Linked DNA regions of Lytechinus pictus. The protein of the gene in region 1 purifies or fractionates together with the protein of each later gene. This does not show direct contact. Links are inferred from orthologs where the notes say so. Each region holds a gene or a part of one and is shown in the gene's direction. Other genes may lie near its edges. The genes, in order: uncharacterized protein LOC129254733, prefoldin subunit 3-like, prefoldin subunit 4-like and prefoldin subunit 1-like.

Region 1 (7,173 bases):
AATCTCTTTTTTTAAATAGACTTTCTTATGGGAACACATGAGGTGTTTTACAGTATTTTTACTGAAGATGTAATTTAAAATGGAATTGCCATGCCTTAAAAGGAGAATTCACCCTGGTCAACATTCAGTGCAAATCAAAATTTGCATCACTGCAAAGAATACCTCCTAAGCGTAACAGACTTAAATCTAAATTTAGTTATGATGGTAATTCAACAAATACCCCCAACTTGTTCAAAGTTCATTGACCCTAAATGACCTTTGACCTTGGTCATGTGACCTGAAACTCAGGCAGGATATTCAGTAATACTTATTATATACTGTCATTTCAAAAACTAAACCTTCGGTTAAGATTTGATGTTGACGCCGCCGCCGAAAAACAGCGCCTATAGTCTAGTCTCACTCTGCTATGCAGGTGAGACAAAAATGAATTAAAACCAGGGTTGGCAATATTTTTTATTCAATTTTTTTATTTAAAAAATCGAATTTATTTGATTTAGGCCTATATCAGATTTTTTTTACAAAAATTTCTAAAATAAAAATTAAAGTGGAAACACCAAAAATAGAACCAAACTAAACCTAACTAAAATTATTACTAACTTCTATTCTATTTCATAATTAAATATAGTCAATATAAGTTATAACGTTAGAATTTATATCATAAACTTATAAAGTCATGATGAAGATGCATGCGGTTTTCTCTTTTCTGCCAAAAAAAAGACAAAAATCGATGAGCCACGTCGGGGGGATTTTGCATTGTTATACCCCCTATGGTGGCTGTATGATAGCGAGCCGTCTGAGTACGAGGAGAAATATAAAAAAAATGTTTAAAAAAACCCCTGAAACAGACGGCTGCCAGTGCCAGCTGTCATCACCATACCATGCATGAATGGACGAAGCGCGGGGCAGCGCAGGCACAGTCGCACAGCTCATCTTGCACAATCATGACAAGGGCCAGGCAGCCGAGCTGCGCTGCTACAGCCTACACTAGGGCCTAGGCTACTGTCTAGTGACTGAAAGATCACTTACCCAAAGACTCTGTTTGGTCTCCTAGTCCCACTTCTCCAGCTCCTCGTCTAGAACTGCTTCTGGTTCCAACAGGCATGGTGACGTACTCCTATTCCACTAATAAATCAATCATGAGTCAAATTATTTCTTTAGAAAAAAGCCACAATACGATTTACACGTGTGAGTTGTATTACGCAATTAACATATATCACAAAAATATGAATTGATGCAGCGCCATCTACGTCTCGAACTTTATATTATCATGATTATACATACCATAGAGATATCTCTATGATACATACATATTGAGTGATGTTCCAGCTGGAGCTTTTCAACATACCAACCGTGAAACCGTGAAATATTTCAAAAACAAATATATTTTTATATCTTATATTTTTTTGAAAATATGTATTTTTAAACAAAAGCAAAAAAAACTGACATTAAATAGAAATTTGTAAAATAAACAATAACCATCCAACCAACCTTAATTACCCTTTCCACGAACAATCAGGTTTCACGCGCATTATTTACTATTCTGTATTTTTTATAGGTTGAGTTATTTTTTGGGCGAAGATTTTATGAAATTTTGTAGGACTAATAGGTGGATGGGTGACTAATCAAAATTAACGTTTATAATCGTCGCTTCATGGTTTGACCATAGAGCTATAGCTCTATGGTTTGACGTGACATGGGCTCAATTGTATACAGAGATCCTAAAACTTCTATCACAGACTTTACTCAATCGATAAATGAGTGCCTTCAGGAGTTGCTCAAGGAAAAGAAGAATATTTACTTGATGGGGGATTTCATTTCCTGAATGACACGTTGATGACTTTGTCAATATAATTTGTAATAATTCATTGCAGCCTCTGATAGATAAGCCAACATGCATTATTAATTCTACTGTTTCTCTGATTGATTATATTATATCATGTTATATATACTAACGAATGTTCATTCTAACAATACTATCTCAGGTATTTTCTATACAGATTTAACTGATCATTTTCCAATCTTTCAATTGGCTTTGAACCTTGGTATGGAAGCTATGTTGAACAAAATCATAATTATTAATCATAATCCATGCCAGCGTATTGATGCTGTAATTATTTAAAATTTGAAACACGATTTGTCTACTACTAAACTTAGGAATGATATGCTCATAAACGATGATCATGTAGTAAACTACAATACTTTTTCAAATAAAATTTAATGTTCTTGTCAAGGTGAATCTAATTTTGTAGTCAAAAATCAATTTCGTAGAAAGAAAATTTTAAAAAACCTTGGATTACTGAAAATTTGTTATGATCAATTTTAAAAAAAGATAGGTTGTACAAACAGTTTTGTCTGGACAGGAAAAACTCTACGTTAATTTCACAAAACAGTTTTATGCACATTCTGTTCGGTATGCAAATGAGGGGACCGATGACATCACCCACTCACTATTTCCATTGTATTTTGTTATATGAAATATGAAATATTTTGATTTTCTCGTCATTGTCATGTGAAACGAAGTTTCATTCCTCCCCGAACACGTGGAATTCCAACTTTTTATAAGTATATGTACTTATTCATCCTCGTCAGGATTTCCAAAGAACAGTCCTTAAAATATTTCCTTTTCAAACGCAAATATCGTAACTTTTCATCTCTAGCTACTGGATTGCATTTTGATATGTATCCATTAATTCTAATACAAATAGTTCTGAAATACATTTTTTTCTCGTTTAATTGTCAAAGTTTTTAATCACTCTCTGATTTGATATTGGAGATACAAATCCTCTTCATTAATTGTTGACAATTATTAATATATATATATATATATATATACTTTAAATGGGCGCGATTTTAGCACTTCCCCCGAGTGCCATTTGCCCTAGATACGACGCCACTAGTTGTCCGTGTTACTGATATCGAGGAAAACATTTCTTCTCGAAAAAAAACTTTAACTAAGGATATAGTCTATTGGTTGGCTGCTCTTGCCGCACGATGGGGAGGGGGGCTGCTCAAAGTGATGCTCCGGGCTGAAAATAATAAGATTTGAACAGATAAATCAGACAAAAAAAACACTGAAAATTTGATCAAAATCAGACAAGGAATAACAAAGCAATTGTATTTTAAAGATTTGCATTATTCCGGTGAAACAAATATTCTAGGCATGTCTTTATGAATATTCAATGAGCAAATTTATGATGTCATATCCCCACTTGTTCTTTTGTATTTTACATGTATTATATTAAATTAGGTCTATTCAAAGTTTTTCTACCAAGAACTGAAAAAATTGGATTGACAACTGATTTAATAAATTATTTCATTTAAAAGGAGACACATTGTTCACACATGTGTGAAAAAAAATTAACACTGAAATATGAAAGTGGATATATGTGGCATCATCACCTAACTAATGGATATTCATGATGACGTGCGTAACTATTATCACAAAATTGCTTAACTTTAAAATCTAAAAACTTTGTTATTTGTTATCCAATTTTGATGAAATGTTCAGCCTTTAATTTGCTCTGTGAATGTTATACTCTATTCATTTAGATACCAATGTTTTCAGCCCGGAGAATCCCTTTAAATGCATGCTTAAATGTTGGCCATGAACAAAATTAATTGAATATGCTTCGACGGCTGATTATTTGCAGCCCTGAAATTCATGTTATGATATGATGCATGCTTAAATGTTGGCCATGAACAAAATTAATTGAATATGCTTCGACGGCTGATTATTTGCAGCCCTGAAATTCATGTTATGATATACCGCGGACACATTTTCCATTATTAAAAAAAAAAAGTGAATGATCACAAACGCCTTTAAATTGTGATGTTAATGTAAAATGATGGTGAAAACCGGGGATGAAAATCAATGTTTTTTGTTTAAAGTTATTTTTGTGCATTCGGTTGGTATGAAAAGTAAAAAAATCTTGCTTACAAAAATGACAAAAATACATACCGGTACCTACGGTACGGTCTATAATGTTACTGGCCCGTGTCTGGTATTCTGTTTTAAGAAAAGCATAAGGGGTCTACCTCTCTTGATCAATGTGATTTATATAAGCATTTATTTACTTATTTCCTCACTGGAGTACATACATTTTATGAAGGCGGATCAGGAATGGGTGGAGTTGTTTTGAATTTAGTTTCGCAACTCCTTTTTTGTCATTAAAAATTCGTCGCCCTCGCTCGTTGTTCATTGGCCAAGAGTTATCGCAGTTCTATTTTTAGATTACGAGATGTATTTATACAGGAGTAAACGCCCAAGCGAATACACTGCCTTCTCTACCCAAATTACAAAGGATTTTAGTCAAATTTACGGCATCTCAGGTAAAATTCTTGACTCTTGTAAGTTTATTACTACTGTGAAATCTATTTTGGATACGTTTTAATCGTATTTGTTATTGTCGGCCTTGGAAGGTTCTGTTTTCTTTGCAAAATTATTTATCATGTTCATATCGGTCCCGCATGTACCATCTGATGTTTGTTAGGACTGAAGTAAAATCTTCCCATTTGCGCGCTGGGCCCACTCACACGTATTGCGAGGTTAGTATTAGTATACTAACCTCGCACCACGAACCGCGTTTGGCAGTGGATTTCTAACTAGTGGGTCGCGCGTGCTGGGATCTCACTTCTTAGGTCCACAACACACGACTTCTATGGCTTGAATTTTCTGTGCGCGGCGGCATGTAATGACAATGTCCTTGGGTGCGCTGGGCCCGGGGCATTGGCTTGCCCTAATTGCATTTATTCAATATACAAGGTTGAAGGTTATGAATGATGTATCCCTATTCTCTGTTGTTAGTACTCCCTGTGTGGTTAGACAGGAATAACCGTCGTTTCTGGGGATTTATTCAACAATTTCTGACATTTTACTGTAATCCCCATGTATGGTGAGTGAGCCAACGCAGTTCAGCGGAACAACCAAAATACAGAGACTGAAGCTTTTGGTCTACTGTGTGGTTAGCCAGGAGGCTCATAAAAGAGTAAAAATTATTCACTAACAAAAACCATGTGCTATTCAAATTAGCTGTTGAATTGAAGGCAAGACTAGAGCCAAGATCGTAATAAAGTTGGTATTAAAAGTATTATATGATAGCTCTAGGTCAGTAGGTGGGGGATACTAAATTTCTACACAGAATTTTGAAACTCATTAAATATGCTATTTTATGCATATTTTTCATAACTCACAAAATATGCTTATTTATTTGTTGAATGATTTTGATTTTTTTTTCCATCTGACAATTCTGAGAGCCTCATTAGGTCCACCAAGGTTCTACACAGAATTTATAAATTTTGACGAGAAAATTATTAATGCTGATTTATACAAAATTTATTCATAAATAAAAAAAAATGCTTTTCTGTCATTTATTCATTAATATCAATTCTGTGTCCTCAATTTATGTGACCATTATAATTCACTTCAATGTCAACTGGGCTGAATTTTGCTGCAAGATCCACATCATTGTTGTGCTAGTTACATTCATGGAGGATGGAATTTGAATAAACATAATTTCCTCTGATAAAGTTACCCAGAATGATTGAAGAGATAACATCATCAACTCATTGCATTTTCATGAAGAAATGTATATACTGTTTACTGAAGTATTGCTAAACTTTTACATTAAATTTTTTGATTATTCTCAATCTCATCAAATTTTTATGCAATTTTTAGGGGTTTTTTTAACCTTATTTTTGCACTGTTTTAAAAAACTTTCACCCTGCAATAGCCTTTTAACAACTTGCCCTTTCATGTTTTTGCTAGGTTATTTTTGCTTGCCATTGCTTTTACAACAACTCCAAATTATATTGACATGTCTATGTCTGGAGAATTTGTAATCTATTATCATGGTTGGTCATTTGAAAAATTTGTCAGTCATAAATGCAAAAATATCGATTTCCAAATTGCCAATGCTTTTTGCTGTCTTCCACATCTAATCTTGGGTGGAAGTGTAGCACTCACAATAATTCATAGACCTACGTTCATGTTCTGAGGCATGCTTGTTATTAAACCACCTACAGTACAATATTCAAATTAAAATTGTAACAGGTAATGGCCTACTTGTATTTTAGTCTGAACTCAGAAGTGCCTTGTGCATTGAATTGCATAGCCTTGGCATTCACTCCTTACAAACAATGCACACAATTAGTGATATAATGCCAGAGGCTGCTGACAAAGTTACATTTTTCATGTTTTACATAATTATATTAACGATGAATAATTTTATCTGCTTTTTTGTTACCTGTAGATCTCAATGATGCCTTCGATTTGAACTTGGATCGAGTATAAGTAAACTGACACAATGCAACAAGCTGCATCACGGAGTCTTCTTGCCTTTAAGGGCAGATGCATGGATGTCAAGTTTGACATAGGAAACTCAAATTATAAGCCTCTTGAGAAGATAGGAACAGGTATACAAACAAGCATTACTTTCATGTGTAAAATTAGTTTTGAAATTGTTATTATTTGACTTTGTCTTGACAAAATTAAAGGGGAATCCAACCCAATTAAAAACTTGTTTTTATAAGAAAAAGATAAATTAGACAAGTTGATATGTGAAAGTTTGAACCTTATTGGACAAACAACAAGAAAGTTATGAATTTTTAAAAGTTGTAAATATTGATAATCACTATACTCATGGAGACTTCAAATTGGCTACATACGGGATGTCATAGTGATGTAAGGCAAGGACTACTCTTCCATGTACTCCACTACATATTATGGCTAAAATGTCATTTTTCCGAAAAGTCTTATTTCAAATTACATTTTTCTTTCATGAGGACATTAAACAATATACTACCTGGGTTATATTTAGATTACTGCCCCAGGGGAATGGATACTTAGGAGAAAACCACAAAACCCTGATAATAAAGTACATGGCCTATGGGAAAGTTGTCCTTGCCCCTTGTCATAATTTACTTACCCAGTTGCCAATTTGAAATCTACATACTATTAGTGATCCCAATTTTAAAGCAGCTATAACTTTCTTATTGCTTGTCCGATTTCTTTCAAATTTTCACCATTCTGTTTAATTTATTTTTCTCCTTCCCAACACAACATTTTATGGCCAAGGCTGGATTCCCCTTTAATTGTGGAATGTATTTATTAGTTGGAATAAGTATTGAAATGAACTACCATTGAATACCAGGGGCCGCAGAACGGTTTTCATAGTG
Region 2 (7,643 bases), on another chromosome or scaffold:
AGAATGTATATTTCTCTCTTTTCTTTCTTTTTTTGCTCCTCCTTCGCGCTCGCAGAAATTTTATTAAAATACGCATATTGTTCAAGTTCACAAACATTGCCCAGAATGTTCAATTTTGAGGATAAAAAACATGAAATTTCAAAGATATTTTAGCTCGCGCTTCTCACTCGCACTATAGGGGCTATAAGATTATTATATATTGTGTTTTGTGTATGCTGTTTAATGAGAATAAAGAAGTGACTGTTAGGACTACCCCTATTAACTTTGAGCAGAGCAAATATTTTTCGGCCCCTTCCCCGGTTTATTTCTAATTTGTTTAATTGCCAACTCGTCTACTATCGTTTGGTCCATCAGTTCGTCAACTCACCACATAGTCTTTTTTTCATTTAGTATAATGCCATTTCGTCTAATGACCAGTGGACCCAAAAGCCATTTGGTCCATATACCATTTCATCTAATTGGACTATAAATGTTATGAAAATAAAATGGCTATTAGACCAACCGGTTATGTGACTAAATGGTCATAGACGAGATGGTTATTAGAAGAAGTGATGATTGGACCAAATGGTTAATGGACCAATGGCTGTTAGACGAAATGTTGATGGACAGATTGGCATTAGACTTAATGAAAATAGACCATGTAGTGAGTGGACGAGTTTGCCGTAGACGAATTGGCACCCCCCCCCCTATTGGCGATAACGCCCATGCACTACTACTTCTTTCTTATCTCATCCTTTTCATGATATATAAAACATGAATAGAGTGTCCCATTTTTAGGTCTAAATCTCGATTTTTTTTTCCGCTCGCTCTTCGCGCTCGCATTAATTGTTTTATAGCGACGATCCTGTTCATGGTTACAATTGATTTAAATTTTCCATTCTTTATGTAGAAGTGTCCCCCCAAAAAAATCGGCTCGCGCTTGCATGATTTTATTGTTGAAATATGTAACGTCTCCCCATGGCTAAGTGAAATAAGCAGTCCTTAACAGGTACCTTTTTGATCAGTTGAAAACGTAAACAAAAATCTTATGCTCGCGCTTTAACAAAGATCGGAAATTTGATATCCTTTCCATGCATGATTTAAAATACATGAATAGACATGTCTTGTTTTTAGGTCTAAATCTTCCAATTTTGTGCTCGCACTTCGCATCAATTGCTAAGTTATATACCTATCCTGTTTAAGTTACAAAAAGTGCCTATTATTTCAATTCTGCTCGCGCTTCGCGTTCTTAGTAATTATTTAGTTGCATACACATCTTTTTCATGATAAACATTGCCCAGAAATTTCAAACTTTGGGGAAAAAACACATATTTTTTAATGATAAATTAGCTCGCGCTTTGCGCTCGCATTATATAAAAAAGAGTTATGATATTATATATTTATGTTGATTTATAAGACAAAAGCTAAGAAGTGACATTTTATTCAAAGAAACAAACATAAATCATCTTTGCGCGGCCGATTGGGGAAAAATATGGGTGAAAGAAACCCCCCCCCCTTGGCGAAAGCTGGATCCACCCTTCATCCTATTTATTTCTCTCCTTCCATCCATCTCTCCATTCTTCCAGGAACCGAGGAATAGTTTTGAAAGTGGGGTTAAACATGAAAAATTGATTTTTTTTTTTTTTTTTTTTTTTTTTTGTATTTTTACCAATAAAATCATTAATGAAAATAATTCGGTACAAAAATCTATGTAATTCTTCTTCCTGTTTTAAACTACTTGAAAAAAAAAAACTGGGAGGGGGGGGGGGTTGGCCATACCGCCACTGCTAGTAATATGATTATACCATCCGTCACTATAAAGATGCTTTGAAGAAAAAATGTTCAAATTTTTGAGATAATCATGAGGATTGCCCGAAAAGAAATCTTTTAAAGAGGGGTTGCTGGCTTTGAAAAAAAAGCCAAAAGAAAGAGATTATCTCTCTAAAGATAAGTTGATTTTGGTCGAATATCATACTAAACTGATTTCCAGGGGGTGCTGCCTCTGGTGCAGGGGCGGCGATCCAGGGGATAGGCGCGGGCTCAATGCCCCACTTCTAAAAGCACTAAAAAGTGCCCCTTTTCTGTTCCCCCAACTTCGCTCCACTCCCCCTGCCGTACGTGTACAAAAAACGCACCACCAGCCCAAAAAAAATAAATCTTGGGGGTAACAACCCGAGCACCCCACTTCTCAGGGCCATATACAAGGATTCTAATTTATTAATTTTAAAGAAAGCATGAGACATCATATGTTGAAAAAAAATTAAAGAGACCTATTAATGACTGCATGTGGTCCCACCGTTACGCTAGATCTGCGCACAAAATTGCTTTTATATGACACGCAAAAGGGATAGATCTTAGTGGAAAAGTGGGATAAAGCAAACAAGTTTTAGAGACTGCCTTTATTGGCGTTCAATAATATGGGTGATATGATACAAATTCTGCTAGTTTATTCGTACTATTATTTCTGGCCATTGTACTTAGATCTATATTTTATTGTGGAAACATAAAAAAAAAATTATGATACAAATCGAGCGAGGCAAGTACAATGATATGGGGCAGAGTTCCAAGTCTTCATGCCCCAGACTGAATATATTTTGACATCAACTTTCTCTAAAAACAAGTGTTATGTTTTATTTTGTATTATTCATTTTTAAGTATAAGGTTAAATTATAAGTCTCGGAGTGTCAGTTAATGCTGCAAAAGATGTATAAGGCCTACTCTTTTGCAGCACTATCCAGCTACCGCGGCGAGGACGCCCTCCGAGAAGGTAGCCATATCAAAACTAAAAACAAAAAATTCCCCTTAGATTACTGGTGGATCCAAGGGGCATAATTATCGAGAGCCAAAATTGTAATTTGTAACATTAGCATGCCCTTTTTACCCAAGCATGCCCCCTTGAAAGTGAGGATATATATATATATATATATAGGCCCAATTTTTTTGCTTGTAAATTTTTAGGGACGAAATGACTTTGAATTTTTTGTAAAAACATTTTGTAATGCTTATCAAATTTGCATCGGGAAAATATGCCCTCCATAGGCCCCCCACCAAAAAAAAAGTTTATCAACCCAAATTTTAGGGGAGACCACTTGAAATTTTTAGGGGGGGGGGGTCCACTGGAATTTAGGGGGCACGCAGGAAAAAAAATTGTCAAGCAAAAAAAAAGGTTATCAACAAAAAAATTAGGGGGGGGGGCGATTGTCCCCCCACCTCAAATTTAGGGGGGACACGACCCCCCCCCCCCCCCCCCCCGCTGCCTATGGGGGGACGTTGTTACCCTTTTTTTGCTAATTTTTTTTTCGGTCCCCCCCCTTTGATAACCTTTTTTTGTCAAAGATTTTGGTGCCCCCCTAAATTTTTTGACTGCCGCCGCTAATAGTGCCCCCCCCCCTTTGGAAAATCCTGGACCCTCCCTTGCCTAGATATAGATGTTTAAAGAATTAATTATTTTGAAAGTCAGAGTGCCCCCGCCCCCCATGCTTTAGTTATCATGGCATAAAACTTGTCATATCTAATCCTTATATCAGCAAGAGGTCACAGCATACTATCCGTCACCAAACGACTGCATTTGAGCCATTTATTTTCTCTTTTCTCTTCTTTCTATTTTTTGTTGTTATTTAATCATTGTTTATTTGGATAAGCTCGGATCCGAGACTAACTGGGACGGTGAACGCACTTTCGTTCGAGTTGTGTATTTACGTAACAATACGCCGAGGCGAGAAAGGACACGCCCACAATCCCTCGTTCAGTGCCGAGCTCTGTGAATATGTGTCGACGAAATTTCAAAATTAAATTTGTACACAAATCTGTCACAATTCGGACCAACTTTAGCCTCAGATTAACAGATATTTAGATCTCTTTGGAACACTAAAAGTCATTCACTTGGGGTTTTTGAATACATGTATGCTGATTCAGGTGAGGTACTTTTCAATGCTTTTAAACATAGATTAAAAAAAATAGATTTTCGTTTTGGGATCCCTACTGCAGGAGTGCAGGCCTGGAAATTGGAATTGGAAAACTAACTGATAACTCATTTCCTGTGCCGACAGATTTTAATATTTGTCTGAACTTGAAAAAAATATGATAAGATCAGAATCATTCCTCATTTACAACATGTTTTTAAAAATCGGCAAATGTTTTAAAAATCAAACTTTGGGAATTGAAAGAAAGAAGAATGTGCTGATGATGATGGCAGTGACCAGCACAATCTTATTCTTGGGCTTGGCTTTTTTAAAAGTTATATCTTGTGGACATGGAAAGCAGTTGCACAATAGAGTACCGAAGCCATGACATCAGTTGCCATGGTGTCATGGCGGCTTGGTTCTAAACAAATGAACCCGGAATGAAAGCATGTGTTTTTACACAGGAGAAAATGGCTGCTATCAGAATGATCGCTTGCACCCTATTTTTCAGATGAGCCAAGATGTGTACAGACGACCATCTGCTGCGACTCTGTTTAGAACCAGCCCGCCATTGCACCATGGCAAGTGGCAACTGACGTCACACCTTGGTACTCTATGTCAATGGGCTGATAACTTGCTCAGCGAGACAAACAAAACACTTTAGTTTCAGTTGTCTGTCTGGCAATCTGCCCTTGCCACTATTTCACAGCACAATGTTGCTGTGCCCTGATCTTTGGCTCATTACTATTCAAGACAATTAAGCCTGCAAGGTTTTAAAAATGGTCTTAGAAAACTTTGTTCATCCCACATTTTATAGATCTTGAGCTATTGCAGAGGTCTCCGGATTTTAAAATTTAGTAATTTCTTTGCTGCATGCTAATAAAATCTGAAGAAAGATAGAGTTTGAGACTTGAGAAAGTACAAAAAAATGAATAAGACCCTAGAAAACAAATAAAGATAAGATGAAAATAAAAAATTAAGACGTTGAGAAAATACGAATTGTTTTCCTCCATATTTTCAATTTGATTTACAGGAAGATGTAGACAGTTTTATGCAGAAACCCCAGAATGAGTCTGCTGAGATTGTGTTGAAGAGATTAGAAGAACAGCATCAGAAGTATAAATTCATGGAAATGAATTTATTGCAGAAAAAGAGAAGGTGCGTTTGTCTCTTATTTTCTGTACATACAGTGGTATAATTAATAATCCCATATTTTAATTGTTGGCTTGTTGATGAATTTTTCATTACCATAGATTTCAGGAGTCCATTGACCTTTTTTTTTAATGGCTGCATATATGAAATTTATGAATGACAAGTAGATGTATGAAGCCACCTGAAATCACGATAATAATTGAGAAAAAAGAAAGAAACGTATTTATGCAAAAGTATTGACTGATTTCTGACACCCACTTTAAATTTCTTTATTTTCGATTGGTTGCATAAAAGTGATTAAAAGAATAGAACTTCTCTGGTTGCTCAAGAAGCCATCTTGAGTGAATCTATACTTAAATTCCAAGGAATATGGTATTGAATGATTAATTTTTAATTTCTTTTTCTTGAATAAGATATTTTAATCATTTACTATCTCTGATCACAGATTAAAGGGCCAGATTCCTGATATTAGAACAACTTTAGACATTGTCAAACATTTACAAAGTAAACAGGTAAATATAACCTTCATTAATTTCAATTACCATATAAAACAAATTTCTTTTAAACAAAAAAGAAACTCTTGTACATTACATGATGTATACATTATATAGCACTTTTTTTTTACTTTGTATTAAAAGAAATCCTTTTTGAAAGATGAAGAGCATGCATGATCGATGTTATGTATTCAGTGTTTAGCATCAAACTTGTTTTCATTGTTTTTTTTATCTAACTTATTTAAAGAATTTTCATTATTTAATGTTACACGCTCTCTTTAAAATGTTATGTTACTTGTAACAAATTATTCTGTAATAATTCTGCAGTTGATTGATGTAAATATATTTCATATCTCAGTTATGCTGCCACGAAATTGTTCCATTTCATTTTGTCCTCCTAGGGTTCTGAAGATGAGTTAAAGACACAGTTTCTTTTATCAGACCAAGTATATGCCAAGGCTACTATTCTTCCTACCAAGAAAGTTTGTCTGTGGCTAGGGGTAAGTCAGGGTTCACCACCAGTATCAGTTTGTAGTTCAATAGGGTGTTTTTTCAAAGATTTAAGTTTTTACTCAAAAGCAAACTGTATTTCCCACTTGCATGCGGTGTATAACACATGCATCAGTGCATTGGTCATATCATGTTCAGTTGCAGTCACGCAATACCTTGTAGTCATCAATGAGGTTATGTGTTGAATACCGAGTACGCATAGGCATTTAAGCATGATAAAACAGATTTAATTTATATCTAACTCATTGTGAAATACTCTAGGAGGAATATGAATTTATTCATTTAAGAGCTTATGTTATTTTTCAATTTTGATTGCAAACCAACTAGTGAAGCTTTAGGATGAGTGGAGAGGCCTGGTAGAAACGCCTGTAGCAACATCTTGCTGTGCATCACATCAGAGGGAAAGACCCTCGACTCCAAATCTTTGCTTGTTGCTGCAGTGCAAAAAATGTCTCTACTCCATTGGCGAATGCTTCTTGGCAAGCCTTAGAGAGTTTCTGCAATGTGACGGGGAAAAGAAATGAGTGATGTAACATTTTTGCTAAGGGGTTTCCACTCTGATCAAATGTTCTCTGTAATTTTTCCTGTAACCATGAATAGCAAGAATGACCCAAGTTTGACTACACTTGTCTTTGCAAATGTAGTCTCTTGCAATGGGGACAGCACTTAACAGAAGAATAAGTGAACTTTTTACATAACTTAGTCTCCCCAAAAGCAACTTATATGCTGTCCTGGAGAGGATTGTACTGTGTCAGGTGTTGCTGGTGCTCAAGGTAATGTGGTGATCTTGTAGTGATTTTCTTGGGGCGCTCTTAACAGTGCAATGTACTAAAGACCTAAATTGGTATAATCTGCATACGTGTGCATGCCCCTCCTTCTCTCCTTCAGGCTAATGTGATGCTGGAGTACGAACTGTCCGATGCCGAGGCTCTCCTCTCCAAGAACCTGAAAGCAGCAACAGAGAGCCAGACTCAGGTTGACAAGGACCTGGACTTCCTCAGGGACCAGTACACCACCACTGAAGTCAGTATCCTTTACCACAGCAGAGCCTTTTCAAGATTAGCCAACAATTTTTGTCTCACCTGCATAGCAGTGTGAGACTAGGCGCCGCTTTTCCGACGGCGGCGGCGTCAACATCAAATCTTAACCTAAGGTTAAGTTTTTGAAATGACAGCATAACTTAGAAAGTATATGGACCTAGCTCATGAAACTTGGCCATAAGGTTAATCAAGTATTACTGAACATCCTGCCTGAGATTCATGTCACATAACCAAGGTCGAAGGTCATTTAGGATCAATGAACTTAGACCATGTTAGGGGAATCAACATCAAAATCTTAACCTAAGGTTAAGTTTTTGAAATGTCCTCATAACTTAGAAAATGTATGGACCTAGTTCATGAAACTTGGACATAAGGGTAATCAAGTATCACTGAATATCCTGCATGAGTTTCACGTCACATGACCAAGGTCAAAGGTCATTTAGGGTCAATGAACTTTGGCCGAATTGGGGGTATCTGTTGAATTACCATCATAACTTTGAAAGTTTATGGATCTGATTCATGAAACTTGGACATAAGAGTAATCAAGTATCACTGCACATCCTGTG
Region 3 (6,969 bases), about 35 Mb from region 1:
TTACAAAAGCATTGAGCAATTCGCATTAAAGATCAAGTCCACCTCATGAAAATGTTGATTTGAATCAATAGAGAAAAATCAGACAAGCAATAATGCTGAAAATTTTAAAATGTCAAAACTTTCTTGTTTTACATCCGATTTTGATGATATTTTCAGTGTTATGCTTGTTTGATTTTTCTCTATCTATTCAAATCAACATTCTTCTGGGTGGCTTTGAACTTTAAATAATATAACTGTCAATTTGACAAACAAAACCAAAAACATAAAGCAAGGCTCCACATTAACTTTTTTTGGTGGTGGCCCGTTCGGGCCACCAAAACCTTCAAATAATTTTTTTGGGTGGCCTGATATTAAAGTTTGGTGGCCCAAAAAATATAAAGAAAAACATTGAAAATTAATAAATGGGTATAAATGGTTTTTTAACCACTGTCAAAAAAATGAAAGAAAATAATAAAACGGCAAAAAAAAGTGTGAGAAAATTCCTTCCCTATATTTGCCAAAATGTTGGAAAAATTCACATTTCATATTAATGAAATGCCTTCCCAAATTATGTACTTTCTCAAGAGTTGTTTAAGAAGTCATTTATAAACAAGAAAGAAAGTAACTGTCTGTTTATTTTTGGCTAGAAAAGACACAGCTTCGAAAGAAACAAAGTATCAACATACATACAAATGCACACGTGGGACTGTGATGTACTCACCTATGTGTTTTTATGTGCATTATTTTCATTTGGAAATCGGTCTTTTTGAGTCAAAAGAGAGGTCATGATTCCTCTTTTAAATGCTTGAAAATAATCAGGATACACCAGATTTTGGCAAAAAGGTCTGTAGAAGGGCTTTTCATTGGTGTAAAATGTGACTTTGACTTGGATTTTCACAGTTCTGTGGAAGATTTCTTAGCTGCAACATTTCGTATTGCAGCTCCCTGAGTCTGAATATATAGGCTGCTGACTCACAGCTGCTTGAGGCATGCAAAGCTCACGCCAGCCGGCCAGCGCGGCCGGCTGGATAAAAGCTACTTAATGCTATAGCGGTAGGCCAATTTTGTGTGTGTTTGTAGAAAGTTGATAAATGCGTGCAAAATGGGGAGAAAAATTGCGCTATTCTGAAAATTATTGGTTGCCCGATTCGGGCCACCAAAACTTAATATTTTTTCAATAATGGTTGCCCGAGGTGAATTTCTGGTGGCCCCGGGCCACCGCTAATGTCGAGCCTTGCATAAAGTGTTAATTACAGAAGAGGTTTATAATGGTACATCACTTGGTGAGTCCCAGATGCCTCTCCATTTCTCTCTATCCACTTTTCTTTGTCCATCTAAGACTAACATCGAGTACTGTTAACCTCTTCCGCAATTCTAATATTGTGGCCTCTATTAATATTCTTGCCTCTCAAAGTAAAACCGTATTCTAGAAAATAATTTGAGACAATAATAATTGTAAACATGGAAAATATTTTCAAATCTGAACTAATATTTGAAAATTATAGCTCTTTTTTTCTTACTGGACTTTTTTTTACAAACAGTTTCAATTTCCTTCAAAAATATAATTTAAAATCTATTTGTTTTGCAACTTGTGTTATGTTGCAGAACGGTAATAGAGATAAAATAAGCATCATTCTCAAATCATAATTTCAATGGGTTTGAGTCAATGTTCAATTGGTTGGGGTCTTTGACTGTTTTTAGCAAGTTGTTATGCCTATGGTAAATGGCCATTTTGACTGTCTCTACTCTCTACTGATTTTTTTTTAATTCAACTGTTTTTAAGTAGTTTTAATGCTGCCTAATATTTAAAGTTCCATCTTACAATAGATCCTGTAAAAAAGTCAAATGAGAAAACAAACAAATAGTCAAAAGTTCTAGTGTCTATAATATCACAACCTTGGACAAGAAAACAAACACAACTGTCAGATATAGTTGCATCTCACAGAATGAGATCACATTGAAATTAGGGTCAGAGTGTTGTCCGACTTGAGCCCCTTTCACAACTGGTGGTGCAACTCTGCTTACAACCGTTGCAATTGTGTGCAACATATATTGTGACCAAATGATCGCAAACGATCGCAAGAGCGATTGTGAAAGCCCCTTAAGAAGAACTGCAAGAAGCAGGTACAATTGTGCACAAAAAATACAGTCCTTTAATTCAAAAGGCAAGTCCACCCCAACAAAAAGTGGATTTGATTTTTAATAAAAAGAGAAAAATCAAAGATAGCATCAAGCACCAATTTTGAGGATAACCGGAGGATGGAAACGGAGTGAAATACGGGTGTAGAGTAAGATATTATCAAGTCAATCATCTTTTTCTTTATATTTTTTGGGTTTAATTTTTACGATTATCATGATTGCCATCCCACCTTTGTGACTCGGTATATCCGAAATGGTTCACGGTCCTGATGTTCGGGTAGGTGGAGCAGAGTGTAGCGGTAGTGAAGTGGAGTGGAGCCTGCACGAACATCGCCCGAGGTATTCCTGTCGCTGCTACTCGAGGGAAGTCAGGGAACATTATGTCTGGAAAAATTAACTTACCATATCAATCATTATCACCTTCCTTAACTTTAGTCGTAACCCTCTGCTGCTCTGCAGCTGCACACAAAGTCAAAGAGGTCTAACACTAACAGTTAGAAATCTACTCATCCAAACAAAATTCTTCATACCGGTACACACACACACAAGTCACAAGTATGACATGTCCTAGACCAAAAGCTTCAGTCTCTGTATTTTGGTTGTTCCGCTGAACTACGTTGGCTCCACTCACCATACATAGACTGAAGGGGATGGGGCCCCGTACCTACAGCCAATGTATAGTGAACTAGCGTTTTATAGATCGCGATTTAAAACTGTTTTTTAAGCAAAATTGAAAGTTTCATGGTTTCCATTATCAGGGAAATATAAATAACTTAAGTAATTGCATACCTTGGGCCGGAGTTATTGAAAAAAATCCTCTGGATGATTGAGAAATCTGTCATCTAAGACATTTTCACCTGACCTGACAGTTTTTCTTGAATGACGTCATTATCGTATTAACTTAATGTCTCGAATCGATATATCGCGATTATAACTAGTACTAGTACTAGTATAACTAGTATCGTTTATCTTCGGTTTCGTTCGCATATGGAGCAGATCGTATAATATCGAGAGCAATATCGATATCACATTCGTGATTGTCAGTAGAGGCGCTGGTCCAAAAATTGGGATTGTCCCAGAAAACGAGGATATCCTCATAAACCAAGACAAATCATGTCTTGATAAATTGAGACTGTCCTTGTTTATGGGGACGTTTTTTTTTCACTTCCCCCTACGGGACAAAGACAGCAATTACGGGAATTGAGAGTGCTAAAAATAGATTCAGTGACCTCAATTCCCCCCAGTTCACCGTCTATTTTTCATGACTTACTGTCTTCCAATAATCTTGTTATGAAACCCGATATGTTTACATTGACTAGCACACTTGATTGGTGTCGGCACTTGACAGGTGAATGAACTTTCCTAGATTTCTTGTGTGAAGAAATCCTTATAAACTGAGACAGTCCCTGTAAACTGGGACGATCCCAATTTTCTGACCAGCGCCTCTACTGTTGTTGACGTTCGTTTGTAAATATTTTATAGTTTGGCTGCCATTTTGACCATTTTTATCGTGTTCAACCCAATTAAACATCGGTAAAGTATATTTTTCATGCCTTTCTCATCTATATCGTTTAAAGTATTTAAATGTTAAAACATCAAGTTTTAAAAGTTTGTTGTTTATACATCCTTAGATTGTAAATTCGATGTGTAAAATTACATGATACATCAAACTTTGGACTGTGAATTGACAAAAGGGAGGGAATGAGAACACATGCGAGCCCACACGTACACCCTACCGTCGGTAAATGGGGATTACAGTAAAATGTCAGAAATTGTTGAATAAATCCCCAGAAACGACGGTTATTCCTGTCTAGACATGTCCATGAATGCATGATCATGATGATCATGGGCATGGCATGGCATGGCGCATGTCGAACGGAATCGATCATAAAAATTGAATTTTAAAAAATCTACAAACAGATAGAACTTACATAAATGCCGCCCGAGATTAAAATACTTCCCTCTGTGATTAAACTATATTCCTCTCTCTGATTCTGTGTAGAATCCTGACTTCAATTTCTATCTATTTTGTAAGGCGGTGGCGTCGTTGAGTTTTCTTGGTCGATGCTACATGTACGCTGCGAGCGCGAGATTCCGCTGGCGGAAATCATTATTGAGCTTCGCCGAAACTCCCGGGTCAAAATATGTCTCAGAAAATGACTATGCATGATGCGATGACGCACGCCCAATATTTATTTGGAAGTGAGCCATCTCTTGGTTAGAGTTTGAAAGCTGGAAAGACAGGCCCACGTCCAGAAACTTTTCTTTTAAAAGTTCTAATTTTGTCATTACAGCTATGGCATTGTCAATGAAGAAAGCCACAGGTGGTGTAAGTATAGATCTATCTTGACGTATGTCTAGATGAAAATCTTATTTGATCTGTGTTGGGGACTGTGCTAGTGGTGGAATTGAAGAAAATATTTTTGTGACGGTCCCACTTATCTACAAATTTGTTTGTAAAAATAAAATGTGGTACTGCCTACTACTGCCCTGGTGCACTCATTCAAATCAAAGAATCAATGAACAAGGTTATGATTAGACCAAAAGCTTCGGTCTCTGTTTTGTTATGTTGGTTGTTCCGCTGAAATCATTTGGCTCCATAGCCAATAGGGTCTTTATGACTTTATTTCATAAAAATATGTTAAAAAAAAACTTGTCCAAAATAAAAAAAAGATTATTATTCTGTTTTGGCCTGAAATGCACCAAAACCGTCGCGTCGGGGAAAAAATAAACTTAAAAGGGGAAATAACAGTGACTTTAATTCGGCTGCAATAATGTTTGTTATTATTTTAAAGTGTTTTAAAACGTTTTTTTAAACAAATTATGCAATTTTCCGTAAATCATTTAAACTATTATACAGTCTGATTTATGTAATAAATACATTTTTGGAATAAGTAAAGTAAGAGATGACTACAATTTTTGTTACTGACTTTCCAACAGAAAAGTTCATATTTCCCCAAAAAATTACTAATTCATGGAAATTGAATGCCTAAACAAAGAACACTAAACTTTAAAGTAAGTTGCCATTTTATAGTTTTATTCCTCATACATGAACATGTAGTCCTGGGCCTGGGGTATTTTGAGTCTTGTCAATCTAGGGGAGGGGGGGGGGGGGCAAGAAGAATTTTCACAATGGAAGAAAATGACAGAATCTACAGTGTATGGGGCTTCAATATGCTTTATTTCATTTGAATCAATTATGCCAATTTTAGTTAAATCTAGAAATATAGGCCTTGAACTGCTTATTTTTTTAATTGAAGAATTTTGATCAAATGCTTATATTAGAAGAAAAAAATCAGTATAAAATGTTTTTTTAAGTTTTTTAAAATTACAGGCAATAATTTTTCAATCAGCAAAAAGTACAAAAAAATGAAACTTTACGAATTTTGGCAAGAATTCACAATTTGCTTTATTATACATGAATCACGTTTTTGAGCAAGTTTTTTAAAAACTTGTCGCATACCCATGCATGCATTCCCCAAAAAGGGAGAATAATTAGGGGAAAAGAAAATGAGGAGAAAAAAAGTGGTGTTGAAAAAGTGTTTTAATTAGTTAGAAGAAAATAATACACCACTTCAGAAATAAAAGTATTAAAAAAAATAATCTAAAATCACATCCATGCAAAATTTACAACACACAAGCCTAAGCGGTGTTTTAAAACACTTTTTTTTTGCAAAAAAAATGGGTGTTTTAAAACATGTTTTAAAACACACCATCTAAAACGTGCCAAACCTGGCCCTTGTGTCTGCACTCGGATGGGATAGTCTCTATACACGCCATCTTCTTGCTCAGTGTACTCTCTTCCATATAATTCATCATCACCTAGTTGCTGTACCTTTTCCTCCTACCATTTGTCCTGCCACATATATTGGAAGACAAGATCACATCCTTAAATATGCTATCCCGAAAGCAACCACTGATGTATACAAGTTCTCTTCCCACGTACTGTCAAAATTTGGAATCACCTACCAGGACCTGTTGTAATAGGAACAAACCCAGCTGTATTTAGAGAGGCCGCACTGCCATTCATCTGCACGATGCAGCCTCCTGTTGGGTCTCTTATGCTGTAAACCAAGAGTCAGTTTTTACTTGGACGGTGTACACTCACTTTTAATGTATATAAGTGAAATTTTAAATTACCTCACCATGGCACCTTGCACTGATACACATAATGTTTTCATCCCGGGATAGCTTTGAAGCTGCTGAAAGGGATTACTCTTCCAAGGTTCAAGCCTGGATGTGCTCAATTTTAGAGATTGGGTTCTGCTTTACTTTTGCCAGACTTGTCAACTTTCCCACCTTGATTTGCTCTGATTGTTCTATACCAAAATTTCAATTCCTTGTTATTTTCAGGATGATGATGTGAATGTCACATTTGAAGATCAGCAGAAGATCAACAAGTTTGCAAGGAAGAGTAATAAACTTGGAGAAATCCAGGATGAAATTGCAAATAAAAAGGTAAATTTTGATACCATGATACCTACGTATAACAAATTTAATAATATTTTCCTAAGCCAAGGATCTTCCAATATATTTTTTTCAAAATGAGAAGTGTAGGCTACATGAAAGCACATGAAAAATGACCCTGCCCTTCAAATATCAAAATCTATAGTCGGCTTTTCAAACAGGGTATATGAAAAACTAGACTGGAAAATAATTGAATTAATCTATTTTGGTTGATATTTGTTTTGATGAGACTATGTCTGTAAAAGAGGAGACTTTTTTTAAAACCCCCTCCTTAGAGTCCTTACTAGAGGGATTTTCTCTTTACTGATACATGAACAAGGTTTTATGTGGTACTTATTATGAATAATAAATTTTCATAAGTTTATAACGCAGCTTTTAAGAATA
Region 4 (7,100 bases), on another chromosome or scaffold:
AAAAAAGAGAAGAAGAAGGGAAAAGAGAGGAGAAAAAAAGAAAGGGAAACATAAAAGGAGGAAGACGAGTGAATAAGATAAGGGGAAGACTTGGAAAGTAATAATAAAAAATCTTTCATGCTGGGATATATAATTTTTGCTCGCGCTTCGCGCTCGCATCGCCTTTTAGGTGATTTACATATCTTGCTCAATGTGGAGCTTAAATATCAAATCTTGAAGTCAATATACAAAACATATTTCAGCTCGAAAATTTAACTTTCATTATTTTGTTTGATTTGCAAATTTGATTTTTAAAAAGTGTTCTGTAAAATTTTTAGTTGTATGGTCTGAATATTAACATTTCTGCTTGCGCTGCGCGCTCGCAAAATTTGATTTGTCAGGTACCTATTATTTTCCTGTAAGTTCCATAAAGTTATCAAAATATCCCTATTCAGGTCAGATTGTGAAAACGTATCAGCTAGCGCTGCATGCTCGCATTTTGATTGGTGAGTTATGTTTATCTCAATATTAATTCTAAAACAAACTACTTAAAATCCCCATTTGATCACATGCAGTTTATCAGAAATTTCGGTTCGCGATTTCCGCTCGCATTGATTGTTGAAATATATCAACTCATGCATCTTATTCATAATTACAAAAATGCTTTAAATGTCCAGTTTTCAGGCCATAATATTAAGAGATTTCGCGCTCTCATGCTTAGGAAGAGAAATAGGAAGATAGTAATCATTTTCATATGATGACATAATGTCCCGGTCCTATGTCAAAACTCAAAGTAATAATAATGAAACTTATCAGCTCTTTTTAACTGTGATCCATATCCACCTCACAATTTTCCCACAAAGTGCTTGAAAAACAGAGCTTAAATTTACCCTTTTCAGAGCGGAATATCATATATTTTTAGCTCGCGCTTTGCGCTCGCTTTATTGGTTTTCATGATAAGAAATGTATTCAAATTATCCTAATTCTACACGTTCTAGGTCGAAATCTGAAACACGCGATAATTTAGATACGCAGCTTGTTCTCTATTTAAATCATTATCCAGTTTCAGATCACAATATAAGAAATTAAAAAGTCAAAAGGGGCCTAAGCTTTCGATCCTAGCAGAATCTTCGGCGGAGGCAAAATGTATAATATAAAAAATTGTCTGCTCGCGCTTTGCGCTCGCATTATTAATGTGGGAAAATTTCCAATTACTCATTTTCATGATTTACAAATCATGAATAGAGTGTCCGGAATTTTTCCGCTCGCGCTTCGCGCTCGCATCAATTGTTTAGTTATTATACTTATCCTTTTCACGATTACAAAAGTGCTTAGAATTTCCATTCTTGAGGTAGAAATGTCAAAATTTCCAGCTCGCGCTTCGCGCTCGCATTATTTGGTAGTTAAAATATGTAACGTCATCTTGGCTAACACGCAGCCGTTAACATATCAGATCAAAGCGTATATCAAAAATAAATATAACAATTTGTACTCGCGCTTTGCGCTCGCATTATTAATGTAGGAAGCCGATTTCCAATTACTCATCATTTTCATGATTTACAAAATATGAATAGAGTGTCCAATTTTTATGTTTGAATCTCGAATTTTTCAGCTCGCGCTTCGCGCTCGCATTAATTATTTAGCTATATACTTAACCTTTTTCATTCTTCAGGTAAAAATGTCAAAATTTTCAGCTCGCGCTTCGCATTATTTAATAGTTGAAATATGTAACGTCTTCATGGCTAACAAGCTGCTGGTAACAGATCCTTTTTTTATCATTAAAACGTATATTAAAAATTTCTGCTCGCGCTTTGCGCTCGCAGCAATTATTTACTTAGATACACATTTCGTTTAGGATCATAAACATTGCCCAAAATGTTTGAATTTTAAAACAAAATACATAAAATAAACAAAAAGCTCGCACTTTTTAAATAAGGCTTATGATATTATATATGTTAATAAATTACCCCTTCAAAGAAAGAAACAAAAATTAACTTCGAGCGGCCGATCGGGGAAAATGTGGGTGAAAAAAAATTCCGGCCCCCCCCCCTATTGGCGAAGGCTGGATCCCCTGTGACATACGGTACACGTAGCGGTGGAGTATGACAAAAGTGTAATGGATCTGGAAAGTATACCCATAAAAGTGACATGCTTGCATGTGGCTATTGTGTCCCCCCCATGCTCAAGTTTGGATTGACGCCCATACATTTGGTTTGATATTGCTAAAACAAGAATAATCCATTAACCTTTGAATTTTTGAAAGTCCAATACTTATGAACAGATGTCTCCAGTCTTGTTGAAAATAATTCTTGCAATAGCTTTATTTTGTAACAGTGACAGTTCTGGTGAGTGTTTCATAAAGTTACGCACGACTGATGACCTTTCTTGTGCCACACTATCCCTATGTAGCTCACTTAGCACCGATATGCTCCAGTCGATCGTAAAGTTGTGCGTAACTTTACAAACAGCTTTATGAAACGACCACCTGATTGTTTTCGTTCCCTGTTCTGTGCAATAGTTTGGAATGATTTACTTAGGCCTAACTCCAGGAGTTTTTTCCCATGATACTCTAAAAGTCCCTTATAATGATGAACTTTCCAATCTAAAGGTTTCCATCAACATCCATATGCGGCACCAGGATATAACTTTATAGCGTCCGGGGAGGGAGGGGGGGGGGGGCAAACGACCTAATGGTGATGGTTTATTTCACATTCGTCTAATGGCAATTCGTCCAATTGCCAACTCGTTAACTATCATTATTTTGGTCTACCATCAGTTCGTCCACTCACCACGTGTCTATTTTTATTTAGTCTATATGCCATTCCGTCTAATTACCAGGTGGTCCAATAGCCATTTAGTCTATTTACCATATGGTCTAATTTGACTAAGTGTTTAATTGTGCAAAATGAATGAAAATTAAATGGATATTAGACCAACATGGTTATGAGACAAAATGGCCATAGACGAAACGGGGATTATAATAGACGTAGTGATTAGACCAAATGGTTGTTAGACGAAATGTTGATGATGGATGGAATGGCATTAGACTAAATGTGAGTTGACGAGTTGGCAGTAGACGAATTGGCAACGGTAATGCAACCTCTTGGCTTTCCTTCCCCCTTTCTGCCTACGTTTCTCCTCCCCCCCATGAATTTATTTACACTACAAGGAAAAAATCAGAGTGGAAAGGGAGGGGGGGGGGGGCCAGGACCAAAATCCAGTTGAAACCAATTAGAGCAAAACCAATTGAAACCAGTTGGCCAACTGGTTTTAATAGGGAAATTGGAACAACTGGTTCCAATTGAAACCAGTTGCCAATTGGTTCCAGTTGAAACCAATTAGGCAACTGCATCTCGGTTGGTTCCAGTTGTTCCAATTTCCCTATTAAAACCAGTTGAATCCAATTGGAGGCAACTGGTTTCAATTGGTTCCAGTTGAAACCAATTGGAGGCAACTGGTTCCAGTTGAAACCAATTGGTTTTAACTGGATCCAATTGGGACTTCCAGTTGGAATGAACTTAATTAGTTACAAATCAATTAGCATTTGTACTAACTATTGCTCATGCCAGCACAGAAGCATTGTTATATGTCTATAAATACCAATGTAAAGGGCATTGATGAAATGTAGACTCTCATATATATATATGTATATTTACATGGAGGAGCTTCGAATATTTGTATTTGATGTAATTTGGTAACAGTTAGTGGTATACTAATTATCTTTTAATCTGTTTTAATCATAATCTATAATATTTATTGGATGTTGGTCCTGGGGGGGGGGGGGTGGACAGCCGCCCCTCCCTCCTTGTGGCGCAGCCCCTCGCCACATCTATCATGATTATACCTATAGCTTTTTAGCATGAGATAGAACCCTCTTGAAATCTAGCATTATTATTGGCAAATTTTTTTCTTTCAAAATGTAACATGATCATGATAGGCCTAAATAGTATGCCAAGAATTTAGGACTAGCTTGAATTAGAATGTATTTTTGCCTTTTCAAGATGGGGAGATTTTTTTCAACTTTGTAGGATAAATTTGTCAGGAAAGGTTTGCTTTTATCTTGTTCCCATATTCGTTTATGTGGCATGATTTTAAAATGCGGCTTTAGCCCTCTCTCGGTCGTAATTGAACAGGAATTGGCTGTAGAAGAGTACAAATTGCAATCATGGCTGTCGATCTTGAGTTGAAAAAGGTAAATAAATCCACTTTTTATCCAAATCAGTCTGATAAAAAATCTGTGATGATTTTATGATTATATTTTTTTTCAAATGGGGGTGATTTAAGTACGCGAAAGTGTACAAAAGTTACCAAAATTCATTGGCAAGTGATTGCTCGATGCAGAGGCCGAGGTTCAGCTGCAGCGCCTGTCTTGTCAGCGAGTCGTTGGGCTTCATCTGCGGAGAACTCCCGGGCAACAGCGAACTGGTGATGCGATGCGATCTCCGAACAGTGGATGAAATGAACTGAACAGTGAAAGTGAAACGAGAAATTACACAACATAGCCATCAGAGTGAGAGGGAGTGTAGTTTGTAGCCATTTAATGTACTAAATCTTATTGATAAAACTAAATGGACGTGCCATTCAATCAGTAGAGCCTAGGCGCTGGTCAGCAAATTGAGATTGTCCCAGTTTACAATTACACGAACTGTCTCAGTTTTCAAGGATTTCTCCACACAAGAAATCTAGGAAAGTCCATTCACCTGTCAAGTGCCGACACCAATCAAGTGCGCTAGTCAATGTAAACTTATCAGGTTTCATATATTAACAAGATTATTGGAAGACAACAAGTCATGAAAAATAGACGGTGAACTGGGGGGGAATTGAGGTCACTGAATCTATTTTTAGCACTCTCAATTTCCGTAATTGCTGTCTTTGTCCCGCAGGGGGAAGTGAAAAAAACATCCTCTTAAACAAGGACAGTCTCAATTTATCAAGACATGATTTGTCTTGGTTTATGAGGATATCCTTGTTTTCTGGGACAATCCCAATTTTTGGACCAGCACCTCTACTGTCAATGATTCATCATGCCATTTGCAGTTTTGTTTTGTAGCTGTTTTTCCAACTAAAGGCAAAGCAAAGACAAGCCAAAGCAAAGCCAAAAGTAGACGGGAATAACCGTCGTTTCTGGGGATTTCCTTAACAATTTCTGACATATCACTATTCACCGACGGTAGTTCGTTAGTGTGAGCTCGCATGTGTTATCACGTCCACCAACTCGCCGACTAGTCATGCTAGTACTGTCCAGACTTCAATATTTTTAAAAAAATTGAATTTACAGTCTAAGGATTTAGAAACTAACTAAATAATGTCTTGAATATATAAAAAATAAGGAAATATGAAAAAAAGAGATAAAAAGGTATGAAAATAGTACTACCAATAAAAAACCAAATCATTATTTTTTTCTTTCTCACAATTACGGCAATATCGGACTTTATGAAGTTGCGTGAGTGATCCCAGAGCACATGAGAGCAAAATGCTCGCCAATCTTGTAAATTTTTTTCGCTTTTCAGCGGCCATAAAAATAGTAAATATCAAGCAAATTGATGCGGCAATCAAAAACGGAAGCGGGCGCGGACGAGAAACATCACTTTTTTGTAGAAAATAGTAAATAGTGAAAAATTTCATGCGGCGGCCAAAATAGATGCGCGCGAGGACGATCAACTACTTTCTTTTTTTTACTTGGCCTTATGAGTAGAGTCTAGATCTAATACCAAGTTTTCAGTCGAGAAAATGTCTAGAATTAGCCTTGAGGACTCTGATGATTTTAATATTTTTACAAATTTATACAGATACATCATGTAGCCTTGAGACTGCGTATAGGACTGCATAGCGAGACATCGGTTACAGTCAGTTCATTATTTTTATCTTGAGTAAAGTCCCCAAACATCGGACGGTTCCAAGTATCGGACGAAAATGACTTTAACTCCCTCCCCATAACTACAGGGACCCGCACTGGCAGGGGACTTACATGCATAAGATACATGAACATACCTGCTATTGAACTGCACACACAGTAGATCCAAGTTGCTGATAAAAGAAAATATTCCCGGGGTAAAATCCATGATTTTGACTTCCAAAGATTCTTATGACCCTCGCTAATTATGGACTCCAAAAGATCAATGACCCAAAAAAATTTGTAAGGGGGAAGTGATTTCCGCCAGAAATATCGCCACTGAGATCGCACATGTTGAATCTATCGCAAAAAATCTGCAATGGCCGCTGCGGGGGTTCTCTAAGGCGGGAAATGTGACACCCTTCCGAATAGATGAATTTTGCTGCTGACTCATTTACATGTAACTCACGACTCAACAGAAATTTCTCCTTGCATGCCATTTTCATACTGTATCTCACAGTATTTCTGCATTAGAGATCCTCAACATTTACAACAGTAAATTTCTTTGCTTACTTTTGCTCAGGCATTCCAGGAGCAGCAGATCCGTATGATCGAGACGACGCAGCAGCTTAAGATAGCTGACATGCAAGTTGAACAACTGAAGAGAAAACAGCAGCATTGCAGACTGACTGCTGCAGAACTGGCTGCTCTTCCTGGAGAAACTAGGGTCTTTGAAGGAGTAGGAAGGATGTAAGTCTCTATTCTTTTGAGTGAAATGCCACTGCTGCTTTTATCTCCAGTATCTTTTACATGGGTGCCTTTTTACTTAGGCAAAAGCATAAAAGTCACTTACTGTACGTCCCATAAAATATATGTTGAGGGAACTAGACTATTACTAGGATGACCCAGGAGCAGCCACATAGCTTGCTGGCCTTCCTAGGGAAACTAGGGTCTTTGAAGGAGTAGGAAGAATGTACATTATTAAAGTCTCTGTTTTCCATTAAACTGCACCTCAGCTATTCCATCAAGTATCACATTTAAGGATTTGGTACGTTTTACTATAAAGGGTTTTCACACGTTGCACCTGTAACACAAAGCTTAGCAATCATTGTATAAGAATATCTTTTCGATTGATTGCATTCACTACTTTGTAAAATCAGTCGTATAAATCAGGCGTACGGTCAATCGGTTAACCTTTGTGTTGTGGGACCCTGGACATTTTAGCCAGTGTAAGCCAATGTACGTACATGTATAATAATCCTTTATAGCATTAAGAAGTTGTGGCCCA

The links.
Region 2: the proteins of uncharacterized protein LOC129254733 (region 1) and prefoldin subunit 3-like purify together in Homo sapiens (affinity purification with mass spectrometry; 3 studies listed by BioGRID and IntAct, with this or other methods). This does not show direct contact. The link is inferred for Lytechinus pictus from reciprocal best matches to the Homo sapiens genes MAPK7 and VBP1.
Region 3: the proteins of uncharacterized protein LOC129254733 (region 1) and prefoldin subunit 4-like purify together in Homo sapiens (affinity purification with mass spectrometry; 3 studies listed by BioGRID and IntAct, with this or other methods). This does not show direct contact. The link is inferred for Lytechinus pictus from reciprocal best matches to the Homo sapiens genes MAPK7 and PFDN4.
Region 4: the proteins of uncharacterized protein LOC129254733 (region 1) and prefoldin subunit 1-like purify together in Homo sapiens (affinity purification with mass spectrometry; 3 studies listed by BioGRID and IntAct, with this or other methods). This does not show direct contact. The link is inferred for Lytechinus pictus from reciprocal best matches to the Homo sapiens genes MAPK7 and PFDN1.

Annotation. Positions count from the first base shown.
Region 1 is NC_087246.1:15,313,993-15,321,165, forward strand, and holds the start of uncharacterized protein LOC129254733, read left to right. Parts: upstream 1-4,164; 5' UTR 4,165-4,329; exon of another isoform or gene 4,330-4,347; intron 4,348-6,248; 5' UTR 6,249-6,302; coding exon 6,303-6,411; intron 6,412-7,173. Other genes in the region: coiled-coil domain-containing protein 86-like, read right to left, coding at 1,027-1,102. UniProt on the Homo sapiens protein: Plays a role in various cellular processes such as proliferation, differentiation and cell survival. The upstream activator of MAPK7 is the MAPK kinase MAP2K5.
Region 2 is NC_087248.1:15,691,800-15,699,442, forward strand, and holds the start of prefoldin subunit 3-like, read left to right. Parts: upstream 1-4,620; 5' UTR 4,621-4,932; coding exon 4,933-5,039; intron 5,040-5,478; coding exon 5,479-5,545; intron 5,546-5,928; coding exon 5,929-6,027; intron 6,028-6,925; coding exon 6,926-7,064; intron 7,065-7,643. UniProt on the Homo sapiens protein: Binds specifically to cytosolic chaperonin (c-CPN) and transfers target proteins to it. Binds to nascent polypeptide chain and promotes folding in an environment in which there are many competing pathways for nonnative proteins.
Region 3 is NC_087246.1:50,539,374-50,546,342, reverse strand, and holds the start of prefoldin subunit 4-like, read left to right. Parts: upstream 1-3,954; 5' UTR 3,955-4,414; coding exon 4,415-4,447; exon of another isoform or gene 4,448-4,580; intron 4,581-6,471; coding exon 6,472-6,576; intron 6,577-6,969. UniProt on the Homo sapiens protein: Binds specifically to cytosolic chaperonin (c-CPN) and transfers target proteins to it. Binds to nascent polypeptide chain and promotes folding in an environment in which there are many competing pathways for nonnative proteins.
Region 4 is NC_087262.1:23,590,517-23,597,616, reverse strand, and holds the start of prefoldin subunit 1-like, read left to right. Parts: upstream 1-4,097; 5' UTR 4,098-4,144; coding exon 4,145-4,171; intron 4,172-6,395; coding exon 6,396-6,562; intron 6,563-7,100. UniProt on the Homo sapiens protein: Binds specifically to cytosolic chaperonin (c-CPN) and transfers target proteins to it. Binds to nascent polypeptide chain and promotes folding in an environment in which there are many competing pathways for nonnative proteins.